Linked DNA regions of Oryzias latipes. The protein of the gene in region 4 interacts with the protein of the main gene of each other region in a pairwise test. Links are inferred from orthologs where the notes say so. Each region holds a gene or a part of one and is shown on either strand. Other genes may lie near its edges.

What was found.
Region 1: the proteins of tmem159 (region 4) and cacfd1 interact in binary tests that used the Homo sapiens proteins (3 or more experiments, as listed by UniProt). The two-hybrid records come from large-scale screens. The link is inferred for Oryzias latipes from reciprocal best matches to the Homo sapiens genes LDAF1 and CACFD1.
Region 2: the proteins of tmem159 (region 4) and gad2 interact in binary tests that used the Homo sapiens proteins (3 or more experiments, as listed by UniProt). The two-hybrid records come from large-scale screens. The link is inferred for Oryzias latipes from reciprocal best matches to the Homo sapiens genes LDAF1 and GAD2.
Region 3: the proteins of tmem159 (region 4) and coq8a interact in binary tests that used the Homo sapiens proteins (3 or more experiments, as listed by UniProt). The two-hybrid records come from large-scale screens. The link is inferred for Oryzias latipes from reciprocal best matches to the Homo sapiens genes LDAF1 and COQ8A.

The regions. Positions count from the first base shown.
Region 1 is NC_019870.2:7,533,351-7,537,616, reverse strand, and holds the start of cacfd1 (calcium channel flower homolog), read right to left. Parts: upstream 2,811-4,266; 5' UTR 2,351-2,810; coding exon 2,242-2,350; intron 1-2,241. Other genes in the region: ptcd2 (pentatricopeptide repeat-containing protein 2, mitochondrial), read right to left, coding at 3,701-3,922. UniProt on the Homo sapiens protein: Transmembrane protein which mediates synaptic endocytosis and fitness-based cell culling.
Region 2 is NC_019878.2:23,106,566-23,110,132, forward strand, and holds part of gad2 (glutamate decarboxylase 2), read right to left. Parts: coding exon 3,565-3,567; intron 2,162-3,564; coding exon 1,988-2,161; 3' UTR 1-1,987. UniProt on the Homo sapiens protein: Catalyzes the production of GABA.
Region 3 is NC_019882.2:16,014,947-16,018,513, forward strand, and holds part of coq8a (atypical kinase COQ8A, mitochondrial), read right to left. Parts: intron 3,378-3,567; coding exon 3,249-3,377; intron 609-3,248; coding exon 523-608; intron 409-522; coding exon 268-408; intron 64-267; coding exon 1-63. UniProt on the Homo sapiens protein: Atypical kinase involved in the biosynthesis of coenzyme Q, also named ubiquinone, an essential lipid-soluble electron transporter for aerobic cellular respiration.
Region 4 is NC_019866.2:11,613,598-11,617,435, reverse strand, and holds tmem159 (promethin), read right to left. Parts: upstream 2,423-3,838; 5' UTR 2,316-2,422; intron 1,725-2,315; 5' UTR 1,690-1,724; coding exon 1,594-1,689; intron 1,520-1,593; coding exon 1,351-1,519; intron 1,269-1,350; coding exon 1,123-1,268; intron 1,054-1,122; coding exon 994-1,053; 3' UTR 505-993; downstream 1-504. UniProt on the Homo sapiens protein: Plays an important role in the formation of lipid droplets (LD) which are storage organelles at the center of lipid and energy homeostasis. In association with BSCL2/seipin, defines the sites of LD formation in the endoplasmic reticulum.

The DNA.
Region 1 (4,266 bases), on a different chromosome or scaffold from region 4:
TATGCAGCAGCTCGGTAATATACGAGGCGATCTTCCAAACGTGCTTTTATTAATTTTATGAATATTATGAAGTGCCTGTTCGCTCATCATTTTATATTTAATCCTTGATGTCAGTGCTTTTTTGTGTGGAAGAAGAACAGAACTGAAGAACAACCCAGTGTTAGGATAGGCTAACAACATTAGCCTTTTGATGGAGACAAAATCCAGGACAAACCATGTGGGAAACGCTGCAATCTGCATCCTGGCTGCACGTAAATGATCAGCCTTTATTTGTCGGGGCACAATTAGAAACACAATTCCATGTGTCGTGATTTTTTTGAACAGTTTCTGAGGACTGAGCGGCATTTCTGCTCTGAAAAGCTCACACACACTGTGTGCTCTGCTCTGTCCTCGCTAGTCCGGCAGCCGCTAACCCAGAGCGGCGGTTCGGCTCGCAGTCCGAATTCTCACACATAACAAAACGCACACATAACAAAGCACCCTCCCCTCAAACACATCAATAAATCCAGCTGCTCTGCTCAGAGAGGTTCACTCGGTCCACTGGCACCGGAGCCCGAACGCAGAGTTCGGATGCCGGGTCCAGACCTCAGTGGACACGCATCCCCCCCGCATCTCCCTCGTGAGGGTTGAAAGAGAGGGGAGAGCCAGCGGGGCGAGAGCGGAGCGGGGCTTTAGTTTACACGGGGCGTCCGCAGAGCCGCTGGTCGGTCCCGTATGAGCTCCAAAGCTTTCTCTCAGCGAAACACCGTCTATGCATGACGTAACCCAGAGCAGCAGTGACACACGATCGGAATGACCGTTTACATGAACAACGATCGGTATACCCAGCTATCTCGATCGGAAAGAAATTTTGATCCGAACGAGTCTGACCGGGGCAAAGTATTCCGAACGGCGTGTTTACATGACGCATTTTCCTTCCGATTGCTGCAAATACGAAACACGACTCGTCTTGCTTGGGGTGAAGTCCTCCCGCCGTGTTCACCATCCATTCGGCTCTCACCGACACATCTACTGGAAAGCTATGAAAGCTTATATTAGTACTGTTGTACTTTGACAAATTCGCACACGGGTACACAACAATGTTGTGATGTCTTTGTCACGCGTTGAAACACCAAACGCCTTTCTTTTACCCGAAATCCGCTCCTATTTACTCAAAACTAGCAACTCAACAAAACTCCCCACAACAATAACACGACCAACAGGAAGTTGTCGGCCTCACACTCGAAACACGGAAGTTAACCGGAAGTTCTATCGTGCACGTAGGCTATTCACAAGTTTCCCTGTGGGATCAATAAAGTTTTCTGATTTTGATTATTCCTAATACTAACTTTTTAAAAATATTAAACTCGGGTTAAAAATAAATATCTGTACAATCCTTTGGTGTGCATACTTGGATTTACATATTTTTATATTTCTCTTTAACAATTTTATTTTCCAAAGCTATAGGCTTAGTAACAAAAGAGAAAACAACAAAGTTGTTGGTGAAAGATAAACAAAAATAAATAAATTGTAGGTTGATCCAAACCCTTATGATAATAAATATAATAAAATAAAAACTATAAATTCAGTGAATGAAACAAAATGTTGCCAAAAACCCAGCAGAAACCCAATAAATAAACTGGTTAAAGTGGTTTCCATTAATCTTTGATTGTAGTTTGCAGGTGTATCTCAGAATGGCAGACTTTCTTTGATGCTTCAATGACAAGCCTCATCACCTGAGCTGTTTCAAAGCATGGAAAAAGTCTGCAGCACGCCCTGCTCCTTCAAAACTTTCCAGGCTTTGAATAATAAAGGACCCACTGGATCTGCAGCGTTCATGCGATACTGCAGGCTCTGTGATCCTAGTGTCACTGAGAATGACAACAACGGCTGATCAGCAGGAAATCTGCACAGGCAGCGCTTGTGAGTCAGTGTTCTTCAATAGAAAGTACAAAAAGGGACGTTTAACGGCGACTTTGCATCTATATCTGCTCATAGTCACAAGCAGCTGTGGTGGAGTGAGCCTGGCACGCCGAAAAGGCGGTGCCCAGTGCGGTGAGGGGACAATAAGCATTGACAAAGCCTAGTTTACGAAATCAAACTCAAAGGTTTACTCGTTTAAAAATATCATATACTAATTAAACCAACAGCCAAATGGAAAATTTTAGTCAACACATGTCCAACATATAATTTTGTATGTACTCTTGGGATTAAACTGTTAAAAACCACATGAACTAATAACTTAATCTGGAAATTACTCACACACTCCTCCTAAAACTCCTGCTGTCTTGCAGAGCCATCTGTACCACCAGGTCATGCCATCATCCTCCGGAGCGGTGTTGTTGGCTGCTGCGGTCTCTTCGGTGCTCATGGTGTTTTCCACAAATGTCTAAAGTTAGCCAGAGCCAACAAACTGACTCTCTGGGACTTGGCTAGTTTACTCACCAACGGGGCTCCGAAAAAGTAAAACCAGGTTCAATTAAAAATAAGAAAATATATGTTTGTCTAGATATATTTTTTTCCTTTGTGTAAACGTGTTGGGGTGAGCCGTCTGACGACACCAGCAGAATTCCACTTGGCTTCTCCCGTCACTGCTAGCTAAGCGCTAGCAGATGTTAAAAAGCATTTTACCGGCAACCGTAACAGGATAGTCCACTTTCGCTTGTTTTTCAAACTACAGCCCCTTGTTATAAAACGGTAAACTTGTTCTTTGGGATTTTTTTTTTTTTTTTTGTAATTTTGAGTTGATAAAGCTTGGTTCAGCTGGTTCACTTGAAGCCGAGCCAATGAAAGAGATGCACTGTGGGAGGGGATTTGACATACGTCACGCGTTTGTTTACACATGGGGTGCGTTCCAATATACACTGCTTGCCGTTTGTGCTAGTGGCTTGCGTTCCGTTCTGAAGAAAATGTCAACCTGAACATTTCAGACGTTTGGGTTGAAAAAAACATAAATAAATTCAATATTAATTGGGATGGTTTTGATTGTGGGACAATAAATCAAATCAAAATAAAACGCTATTCTTAATAAGTTAAAATAAAATGTGTAAAACTGTGGGATACATCAACCTCTTCTTTTACTATATAAAATAAAAAAAGTAACCAAGTCATCTCAGCAAGGGATTTATATATATATATATATATATATATATATATATATGTCTTGGAATTAAAAAAAATTTTTTTCAAGAAAAGAGAGTGGGAGGAAGCAAATCCTTATACATGTACAGGTATTATACATGAATCTGGAAAGACATAACCTTAACGATGTTGGAGTAAAAAACAAGAGTCTTTTGTATAAAGAGCTTCTTCAAAACATTTTTTTTATTAAATATAATAATCAATTACACCCCCCTCCAAACTTACACAGGATATACAAAATACATCCCTGCCTGATTTATTTTGACTGTCTTTATAAGAAACTGCAGCTTATTTTCAAGTAACATTTACTAAGTTGAGGTTTTTCAAAAATAATCATGAGGTGTGGTTAAAGTTTGTTTAATAATGAAAAATGAATGGAAAAAAAAACATCTCTACTAACAAAAGTCTGTTATCTGACTTTTAGTGTTGTGATAAAAATATTTATGTTTTTCTAGGTCAATTTTAAAACTGTACAATGAATACTGCTGTGAGTTGTACCTGCGTCGTAACAAAGCTCATTTTTATAAACCAAATTGTGAATCTCCACATTAGACATTTGCATCGCTGAGCAGAACTGGCCTCACTCTGACAATAAAGCAGACTTCAGAGGCTTCAGAGTCCTTCGGCTGGTCCTCCTCCCCTCGCCCATGGGTGCTTGTCTCCTCTTCCCCACAGGTGTGTGGCACAGCATGTCATCGAGGGTCTGCTGAGTCACCTGAGAGGCTCGCTCAAGCTGAGTCACTACCTGACTCACTTTTGTGTGATGTGGTCCGCCTTCGCTATGCAGACGAAGCAGGTCCACCTGGAAGAGACCAGGGTCAAATATAGCAGTGATTTATCATCTGCCTCTCAGATTTGGATGAAAATTTGAAAATATATTCCATTGGTTTGAACTAAAAAAACAGAATCAGCAAAAAGAAAGACACAGATTTTAGACTGTATGTTCTGGAGAGCTTTGTTTTGTTCATAATGTCTTTGCGTTTTAAGTAAAAGAAGTCTTTTTTTTTTACAGTATATTTAGTTTTTTTTTTTTAGATTTTGTGATTTCTTTAAAAATAAGATCATCCTTGAAATTCTCCTTTCAAGTTCCAGACAAACACGAGCCTAAAACACCTGATAGACTCAGCAAAAACATTTTGAAAACTA
Region 2 (3,567 bases), on a different chromosome or scaffold from region 4:
ACTGGACAATACTGTAAAATATTCTACTAAGGCAACACAGTTACAAACACATTTAAGGTACACATCGGCACATATCGTCAAGTCATCACTTGTGCACACTGAAACACAGAGTTAAAAATGGCTTTGCATATCGGTTTCAAACCCTAAACGGCGGAGGTCGGCCGAGTGGGACTCCGCGGGAAATCAGGACGAAATCCGTTGCTTTCCGTTAAGCCGACGCCTGAACCACGTTTCCTTTCAAATAGCGAGAAGAGTCACAACGTTTCCGACACACACACACAGAAGAAAAAGCTTTTCAGGACTAATAAGATGAAAATACAGGATCTATATCAGAGATAGAGAAAATATGAATACTTTTACCTCACAAATAGTCTCTGGCTATATGTCTTATATACACGTATGTATACACAATGATATGTACTTAGGACATCTTGAAATACTATTTACAGTCCATGATCACATGTGATTGTACACTGATTGACCATGTTGAGTAAATTGTGCTTTTCTAACTTGTTCTAAAGGAAATGCTACAGACAATTCTCAGATATTATTTTCATTTTAATCTTTACGAAACACAGAAACGTGTGTTTTTTTTGTGGGAAATAATGTTAAATTGAACAAGTTTGCCTCATTTTCTATCTTTTCTTAAATATATTGCTTCAGAAGAAATCTCAGTCCTCAAATCCTTAACAATAAAGTTATTTTCTTTAATATAATTTATTTTAGAGCCTATCCAAAAGCCGAACAGTTTTACCATGTTATAGTTTATATATTTAACCTTAAATTCAATAAAAACATATATAGGTAAGATCTTTTTCTTAGCGTGATTATTTTGTATTTAGCTTAACGTCTGAGTCCTAGTCACTCAGTGTCATTGTCTTCTTGCACCCTGTTGTCTATTTTTCATGCACTTAAGGTGACCCACTTAGGGGCCACCTTGATACCTAAAAATACCTGAACGATGACGTTAGCTGCACGTACGGGAACTGAACATACTGTTCCAGGTGAATGGATTCAGTCATGGTTTGACTGTGTAGTCTGGAGAACTTGGGAGAAATTAAAAGGAGTTTCTGGAGTTATTTTTGGTGAAACAGGGTCAGCGGGAAAACCCCTCAATTGAACTGCACATGGTAGTTAACACGTAAAATAGGGACTTTAAATTCTGGAAGCTGAAACGTATTCTCATTGTGAAAGATCAAATAAAATACATGCAGTACCCAAAATGACCACCAGAGCGACAGGCTTACTTGATGTGAGATGCTATTTTGGCAGATGAACCGAAATGAAAGGTTGAAGCATGTTTGTGTCAATAAAGGTTCCACCAACACTGTCGAGCGGCATTAGTGCCAATAAAAAAGTGTTGCTGTCAGCATTAGCATCCAGTTTAATCTAGAAGTTGTGGATTATTCTCGCCAACATGCCAGCAGCTTGCGTCATCGGTAAATAGTGTAAATGTTCCGGTGTCCTAACCATGCACGACCCGGCTAAACGTTACAGACGGTTTGGAATTGTCCCTGTTTGTGCAGACGTGGGGGCAGTTGAAGAAGCCGAGGTAAAAGTGAAGAACCCAAAGCCTCCACAGATCACAACCACATTTGGCACTTTACCGCGTACTCTGCAAACGAGGAAGGAAAAAAGACAAAAACCCTCTTCCTCTGTGACTGACAGGCATGTCAACCCACAAAAAAGTACACAAATAGTTACGTCACTTAACACAACTCCCACTACACAATGAGAAAGGCAGACAGAAGCACTTTTACAAAGCTCTGGACCCGCTTGGTCCACGGCAAAGCTGCAATACTTAATATATGGACATATTTGTAGATATTTTTCTCAAATGTAATCTTAAATATATATATATGTATATATATATATATATATATATATATATATATATATGACTTGCAGGAAAGAGAGAGAAAAAAAACGTTACCAGTACATTCACGACAAATATTTCATCCGCCAAGGGGAAAAAGAATTTAGAGTCTTATAGATCATGGCCGAGGCGTTCAATCTCTTCGATAAGAAAGTCGATGTCCTCGAAGGTAGCAGCGGGATTTGAGATGACCATGCGGAAGAAGTTGACCTTGTCTCCTTGCGGTTGGTAGCTGACCATAGTTGTGCCGTACTCCATCATCCGGGCTTTTATGACGGGAGCCACCTGACAACATGCAGCAGTCAGAGTACAGATTACTCGCACAAGAGAGAAGGATTGGGGAGGAGTTCATGAGGATGGTAGTTCATGATGAAGATCAGTTTGATTTCTGAGAATGAAAGACCCAACCCAATGAAAATAATTTTCTTTTTTGTGGCATTTTCTAATTAAAATTGCATTTCTGAGTTTTTTTTGTTGTTTAAATCAGACAAAAATTGCTGTTTGAAAAAGCGTGTATATACATACAAGCTTCAAACGACGGGTCATAAGCTCTCTGCTCTGCTCCATTCTGATGCGTCCACTGTCAGACAAATAGATCCATGAACGATCCCTCTGCTCGGATCTGGATCTAAACTGTTTAGCTGGATAGTTCTGATATTTCCGCCATTTTTGCTGCACCGCTAATGCCAGCTTGTGGTTGAGAGGGGCTGTAAAAATAGCAGGACAGAGTGTTGGGAAAGGGGGGCGGGCTTACTCTGCGCTAACAGTCCCGGCCACAACTCAGAGGTGAATTTCTAATAAACTCCTACTGCTTTGCACAAATTATGTTCTAGAAAAACGACTTCTGATTTAAGCTTTAGAGGGAATAATAATAGGCTGACTGGGAACGCTTTGGAAATAGATCAAAAGATGATCGTAGTCGAACTTTAAACGCACAAACAAAAGCAGATTTCATAGCTGCCATGTTAAAATCTCAGTAAAGATGACACAAAGACAAAAAAAGGCATTCTGGACAGCTGGAAGATGGACATGTAGGTCTGAAAGGCGAGGAATTAGATCTTTTTTCCAATCCTGACATTTTTCCATCTGCGCCTGATTCACAACGATTTTTAATAAAGAAATACTCAGAAATGCAGTTTTAGCTTAATTATTTTATGTAAATGTCCTCCATCATCACAAAAATGCCACAAGAACATGCCAAAATCACCAAAAACACAGTTTTTTTTATCAGAGTGGGTCTTCAAGAAGTTAAACTTATTCAGAGAACCGTTTATCTGGCAGTGGTTAGAACAGATCTGGGGTGGAGAAAATGGGCCTATTCTTTTATAAAAAAATAAAGACTTCCTCCACAAAGCTTTAATCTGTCAACACGATTGAGCGGGAATTCATAACATCAGCCCAGCTTTAAAGTAGGAAACGGCAGCATCTGCAGATTTATGACAACGACGTGGGTTTCACAGAGGCTCAGAGAGCGCCGCGATCTCACACTCGCTCCATCCCTTTGGGCTAATTTTCAATTAGAGCGGCTGTGCTGCTGCTGGGATGCTCAGGACGGTCACAGGAAAAGTTCAGCCCCTCCTCTCCTTCATTAGAAGGATGCGGCGCTGACGGTGACAGACCCGCAGGGGCCTGTGCAGGTCTGTTTGGGGCAGATACCACCGTCAGCCGTCTTATCTGGGCTCACCCACCTT
Region 3 (3,567 bases), on a different chromosome or scaffold from region 4:
CATATTCAGCACGGTCATCAAGTTGTTAACGTCACTGTTGATACTCTGAGCCACACCAGGATACTGTGGAGACACATCCAGACAATATTCTATTATTTTAATATCGTTTTTTAAATATTTTACAAATCTGTCCTGTTCAAATGTAGCTAGGAAATAATCAACACAACTACATGTTTAGTCTAATCTGACATAATTTCTTATAATTCTCCATTTTTTCCAATTCTTTTTTTACTGTGTGAGGGTTTTATTTAGTAATTTAATCCAAACCTGTATTTTCATGGCCACCTCTCTGCCGTCCTTCATCCTCGCCAGGTGAACCTGCCCAATGGAAGCTGCTGCAAACGGACGTTCCTCGAAAAACTCCAGCTTGTCTCTCCAATTTGGACCCAAGTCACTGTTTAGTGCTTTCTGTAGAGCAACAATAAACATGATGTTGTATCAATTTAAATCCATCAATCCTATTTTTCTTCACAGCATCTAAAATGGGCAAATTCTACATTTCTCAGGGGAGAAAAGTCTTACTGTCATTTGCTTGATTGGCATGAAGTCGGCGCTCTGTCGGACGCGCTCGAAAATCTTGGCCAAGTGTGGATTAATGAAGGCATCATCTGGAAAAAAATATTAATTATTAAGTCAAATCCCAAACAAACACTCTAAAAAAACACTAAATCTGCTCTAGAATTAATCAATAAATGTTATGGAAATAGTGTAGATTTAAATTTAAAAGCATTATTTAAACCAGTGTTTTTCAACCTTTTTTGAGCCACGGCACACTTTAACCTTGACAAAAATCCCGCGGCACACCAGCATCCAAAAAATAAAAAAAATAAGCAGAAATTCATGGTCTCTATTGATCGACAGCCCCCCCCCCCCCGCCGCAATCTCACGTGCTTTTTGTGATAATTGTGGCCAAAAAAGCAGGAAGTTGCGGCTGTTTTTTCTAAGAGATGAAATAAAAGTTAAATTAGAAAATTTAGAAACTGTTTGTCCATTGAGGTTTCTAGACATTTCACGCACACTCATTGTGCGCTTGGACACTGGCCCTTTAAGCCAATGCATCATGGGAGATGTAGTGTGAAAACTGCCGAAAAAGGGCAGAAAGACTCGCGTCTGTGAGCTTCATTGTTTTGTTCACGGTCTGACACCGGACTCTGTGGAAAGCTACACCGCTAAAGACGAGCTTTAGCTGGTATTTTTGTTGGAACTGAGAGACTTTATGAGCAGAATTAAGAACAAGGAAGTGAATACTTTAACCACTTCTGATTGGTCAGACTGCTGACATGTGATTAAGCCTTCAACAATGATTGGTGGAGACAGGTAAAGGGGCGGGACTTTTCCGCAAACCGCTGTAGCTGCAGGTAAATACCGTCATTCTTATCAAAATGTCTTTAATAGAATCAAATAAACACAAAGAAAAAGTAATTTTAAGATCTTTTATATTCCTCACTACTCAGTGTTTTATCAGTGCCTGTTTGGATGAACAAAGAGCTGATTTCCTGGAGATGGAAAATGTTTTTAGATCAGTGAATGATTAATGAGGGTAATTTCCCACGGCACACTTGACCATCTCCCGCAGCACACTAGTGTGCCGCGGCACACTGGTTGAAAAACACTGATTTAAACTATAAAGAAGTCGCTCTATGTAATCTGTTATCTAAAAAATCCTTACACAATCAGACAGAGTTAAAAAAAAGGCTCCAGGCTTTATTTTAATTACAACAAAAAGGAATGCAGCTTAGCAGCAGCTAAGGTTGGCTGAGCTCGTCACAGCTGCCGAGACCAACAATCGCTGCTAAAGACAGTTTAGACATCTCAAGGTTAGCTCTATTTTAGACCTGAGGATAAACAATCCTCTGCTAAAAACCTGCATCCATGCAATAGCAGATAAATTCCAACAGGGGGATTAAAGGCCACCGAGGACGTTTCCTTTTCTATCGTCCAGATGAACACGTGTCCAAACATTTCTGGAACTGCATAAAGAAGAGTGCGTCCACAGAAGCTGCTGTGACCTCTTTACTCATGATTTAGGAATTAACTTGTCATCGTGTAAAACGATAGCCGGGCCATTTTGCACCGAGAAGCCCCACATGTGCAGGGTCTGCATAGCAGTTCCCTGACTACTGCGCTTTCTGACTTCACTAAGCTCCAATGAAGAGTTTGCAATGTGTTTAGAACACGAATCCCGCTTTAAATATGCTCACCAGGCAAGGTCAGAGAGTGGGGCAACACAGCAAAAACAAAACTGTTATGATGTGTTTACTGCGGCTACCTGAGCCACATTCATGTCCTTCAGGCTCGGGTGTTTACTGCCATGAGCTCGCCTTATCTGTGATATCTGCAGTAAACCCATACACAGCTTGTTTTTATTCCCTTTGACTCTTACCTAATCTAATCTAACACACCAAAAACATATTGTCATTGCAAGTTCAATACACACTTCTTAACTTTTATTAATGACTAATATTCATGACCTACTAACAGTGGACTGAATGAAGATGAACAAATTTTACTTAAACATCCTTTAATTTTCTCAAAAATCTACTTTGTTTTATGCATGATTTCTCATTGTTCTTACTGACCATTAATTAATTTTCTGTAATACACTGTTAGCAAAAGTTTGACAACATGTTTTAGTACGACTTTGGTAAACTACAAAGACATTTTGCCATAGCATTATGGGTATTGTAGTCAGAAAACTGGCAGAGTGATACGTAATGTGCTTCAACATTATGAACTGACAAAGTGAATGCAGCAAGAAAAATGTGTGTGTTTTGTATTTTATGTAACAACTGAACAATGTTGAGAGTATTGTGAATAACATTTGACTTATCTGTTGTGTTGCACTTTTTGCAAAAGCTTCTTATTGCAGATAAGATGAGGAAAACCGGAATTACAAAGGTTTGCTGGAACACTTTCCATCAACCCCTCTGACCAATCACCTGCTTCTTGGCCCTTCTATGCATTCTGGGTAGTGTAGTCATGCCATATTATTTGAAAGTTTTGTCTACCTTAATGCATTATAGTTTCTGTTCTGTACATAGTTCCTGTTCTGCAGCAGAACAGGAACCTATATATGAAAATAGACCCATTCATCGGTACTGAGACTTATGGTCTGGAAAAACGGCACATTTAATCGCAACTAATAAAAGGTTTTAAAGAAACTGTTTATAAAGATTTCAATTAATGTGTACAAAATGACATACAAGACAGGTGAACTGATTCAGAGCAGAGGAAACCAGGTGGCTCACCTTGAATGCTGAGCATCTGTCCAAGCTTCAGGGCTGCTCCCCTGACTTTGCACAGCGTTCGGACGATGCGCTCTGCATTGGCCTCGGACAGGAAAGGGCTCGAGTCCAGAACTGATTTCTTATTTTCCCCTAAAAAAAAAGAAAAAGAAAAAAAATGAATGACTTGAGATTTAAGTTTTTTGACACCATACAATTCAATCTGGGATTATTTTAACGACAAGCATTCCTCTGCCTTTTATAGGTCAATTAAGGCGTAGGAGACCCTGACAAACAGGTAAAGCATTTACCCGTTATCAGCCGTTTTTTTTACCATTAGTAC
Region 4 (3,838 bases):
GTCAACTGACCCCATTGTGAGTTTGTGTTTTACTGGAGGGCAAAAAAAAAAAAATCTCCAAAACAAGCAGTGGCTCAAATGAGAGGTTAAAATGTGGAAAATCACTGAAACGTTAGTGACCTCATAGGAATGGCATTTGGAACAGCTTCTTTTCAGAGAACCAGAAGAGGAAAAAGCTAGTTTTTTCAGGGTTTATATAAAACCATTCAGTTAAGCTGCAAATCAATTTTACAAATGTCAGTTTAATGTCAAACAGTTTACTTAGAAAACTGCAAAAGAAGAGAAAGACTTCTTTGTAAATGAGACTTTTTGCAGCTGTCAGGGGCCAATACTAAGACTAAGATTACAGTTTCATTTAAATTGTTTGGTCTAAAGGCTTCATTTTAAATCTACGGGTGTGACCTGTGCAGGTAAAACTAGTCATCTCTCCTATATGCTGATTGATTGATTGTTAATAAAAGAAAGCAGTTTGTAATTTGAAAACACTTCAAAGAAAGGCAAAGATCAATTCAAGAAACTTTATTTTTAAAAAGAAACAACTTCCATTGTATCGTAAAAACCAAGATGGTGGATGTTTCTATTTAAAAAAAAATATAGAAAATTTGCTGAATAAAATAGAAGGAATGTCAAATCCAAGAAATGTAAAACATTTTAAGATCAGCAAGAAGAAAAAAAAAAGTCAAGGCACATCACAGTTGAAAATTAGAGTTAATATTTGGATAACTTTGAATAAGATGATTAATAACAGATATATACTTTGCTGTAAAGACATTGACTTGTAAAAAGACTCAAGCATGTACTTTGACGGATGAATTATCCTGTAAAACCTCTTAAACCACATTTTGGGTGTGGACATTCATGCATAAGTTAGTTTGGTGCTCAGCAAGTCTGTTCCAACAACAAACCACATTCATCAGGCTAACATTCAGTACGTTCAGATTGGATCCAAATCGCCTCAAAATATGAAAACTTTTAGGAGGACAAAGCAATCTACTACAACTCCTTTAATCCGGAAGTTTCATTCTCAGTCTTCTGCGCCTGGTTGACGCCATTCTGCAGAGAACAGAGTCCACCATTAAATCATCACCAGATATGCACGACGGATCAATGCTGCAGCTCTACCTTCGCCCAGTGTGTGAAATAATTTTTCAGTTGGCTGGGAATGGAGCTGATGAATGCATTAACGACGACTGAAACCAGCAGAGAGAACAAGGCGATGCCGACGAGGATGGACAGCAGGGTCAAGCCTCCAACAATCAGAAGGATCACTGGAACAGCAAAGTAGTGAATGCGGGAACAAGTCACCAAAAAGGAGGAAGAAATGGTTCCTTCTGAGTGGAGAATACCTACCTTCAACGAAAACAAAACCTGTTGCTGAAACGATGGCTGTCACAAGGGCAAATGTGAGGAAGATGCCAACAGGAAGGGCAGCCATGATGCTGAACATCAGCAGAGTGAGAGCTAAGAAAGGATGGCTGCTGACGTACTGGCCGATCCTCGTGGTCATCAACCGAGCAACCTGACGGAGAGAGAATTCAGCAGGAATCCACCAAAGAGAGACAACTTTTACACAGACCCGGAAATGTGCCTCACCCAGGGATCTTCCTGAAGGTTTTTCACCGAGGACGTCCATCTTTCCCACAGCTGCTGCATCAACCTGCTGCTGCTGCTGCTGCTGCTTTGCTGCATCGTCTCACACCTGAGCTGACTGACGACCAAAGTTACTAAAAAAAACAGTCATCACACAAATCATTACAAAACAACCTGGAAAATTCTAAAAACTAAAATTCAAATGTTTGTTTGTTTGTTCAAGAGTCCATAAAAATATGAAAGTGCATAAATATCAACCACAAAAAAGACAACTCCCATAGAAATCATGGGTTTACTAACAAAATTAATTAAACTCAAATGATTTCCTTTATCCCCACATTTATTCCCTGATTTTACGATGACATGGAAGATATTAATGACTTACAAATGTAAGAAAAACCTAAAAAAAATAATTTACATTTTAAGTCTTAAACTTTAGGAAACTATCAAGCTGCAACGTAAAAAAAGAATTCATGATTCTCAGTGCAAAATATGACTAAAAAAGTAGAAGTCAAATAAATGCAAAAATAAATTTGACAAGGCTCTCCCAAACATGCAGATCACCATGCCCTTTAAGTTTTGGGGCCCTGGCCTTCATTTATTCCTTTTAAGATGTACATTCAACATCTTCCAGAAAAATTCCGTTTTCATTTTATCGTTCAGAATTTTTACTTTTTTTCTCTCCAATAAGATGAACTAAATTCCTAAAGTTCCCTTACGAGTACCTGAAGCATGAAGTAATCCCCGTTTGGCTGTCAAATCGTCGCAGCTCACACTAATGCAGTCAAACTCAGAGGCTCGCTTCAAAGTATTAGTATGATTCCCCTAAGACAAAAACACGCCCCCTTTTCCTTTTTTGTCATTACCTGACCGATGGGGGCTTTTGAATCACTGCTGCCACCTACTGTTCACTAGGCAGATTGCAGTTAAAATTTGTACAATTAACATGAACTAATCAGCAAAGCAAAAGAATAACTGACAGCCTGACAGACTAACACCTTTTAAAACACATTTAGTTTAAAATGTACAATTAAAAAAACAATAACACAACCTGATTTAAGTGCAAAGTTTATTTTCATTAATGTGATGGCAGTTTTCACAAATGTATCATGTAATATGACACAAATAATTCAGAGAAAAGCAAAAACTCTTTTTGCCATATTGATTAGCTGTGCAGACGAAAGAAATTCCAATACTGTGTTACATAATTCCACAAATTGCTTGCACGATACAAAAGTCTCTTCTTGATGAAGCAGATTTTTCTCCACAGACATAAATCTTTAAAATAGATTACTAAACTGTTTTAATCTTAAAAAAAAAAACTTCATCTTAAACTAATCAAGATCAAGTATGGCTCCCAAAAATCTTATCAGCATTGCCTGAATGTTATTTTAAATTTGCCTTTCAGTAAATTCACGTAAATTCTGTGCTTTTTACTTCGAAAATGTCTGTTTTATAAAATCCAATTGTTAAAAATCACCTTTCATTGGTAAATAAAAAGAAAAATTTCAACTGACTGCATAAAACAAAAGACATTCGGCGCCCCATACAGAAGTATTAAAAATAAGAACACGTAAATCAAGGTCGCTCTCTAGTGACCATGTTGTGTAACTGCAATTAAACAATGAACTTTACAAACAAACATTAGCCCAGTTTTATACAAACTAATGTCTTGTACATAATTTTGTAAAATGTATTATTATCATTATTTGAAAAAGAAATCAATAATTTTTTCATCATCTGCATTAACTATACAAAACATTGCGTTGCAACAGAATTTGAAGCTTTTCCTTGTACATAAAATGTTTATTAGTCCAAACATGTTTCATCTTGCCTTTTTTTTTATGGCAACCATATTTTCTGAGGCAAACATGTGAAATAGCACCTAAAAAGAAGCAGATGCGATGAAAATACTTTATGTAAACACACATACAATATACTGCAGGTATGAGTTAATCCTTATAATACACCTTAACAATAAATATTTTTGACACTTCTTGGAAACATTTAAGTTTAAATTGAACGTTTAACTGTTGCTGTGCAGGCTTTCTAAGTGTGAAATTACAACAGTTCTCCAGAGATCCTACAAGGTTCCTGTTCAGCGTCTTGCTCCCCTTCCTTTAAAAAATGACTGTAATTTCCTACATTTGCTCCGCAGCTGCCGTTAGATGGCAACAGCAACATTTCTCTGTGAGAACAGAGACTGATTGCAGCACAAAAGCATCCAGCTTCACTGCTGAAAGTCATT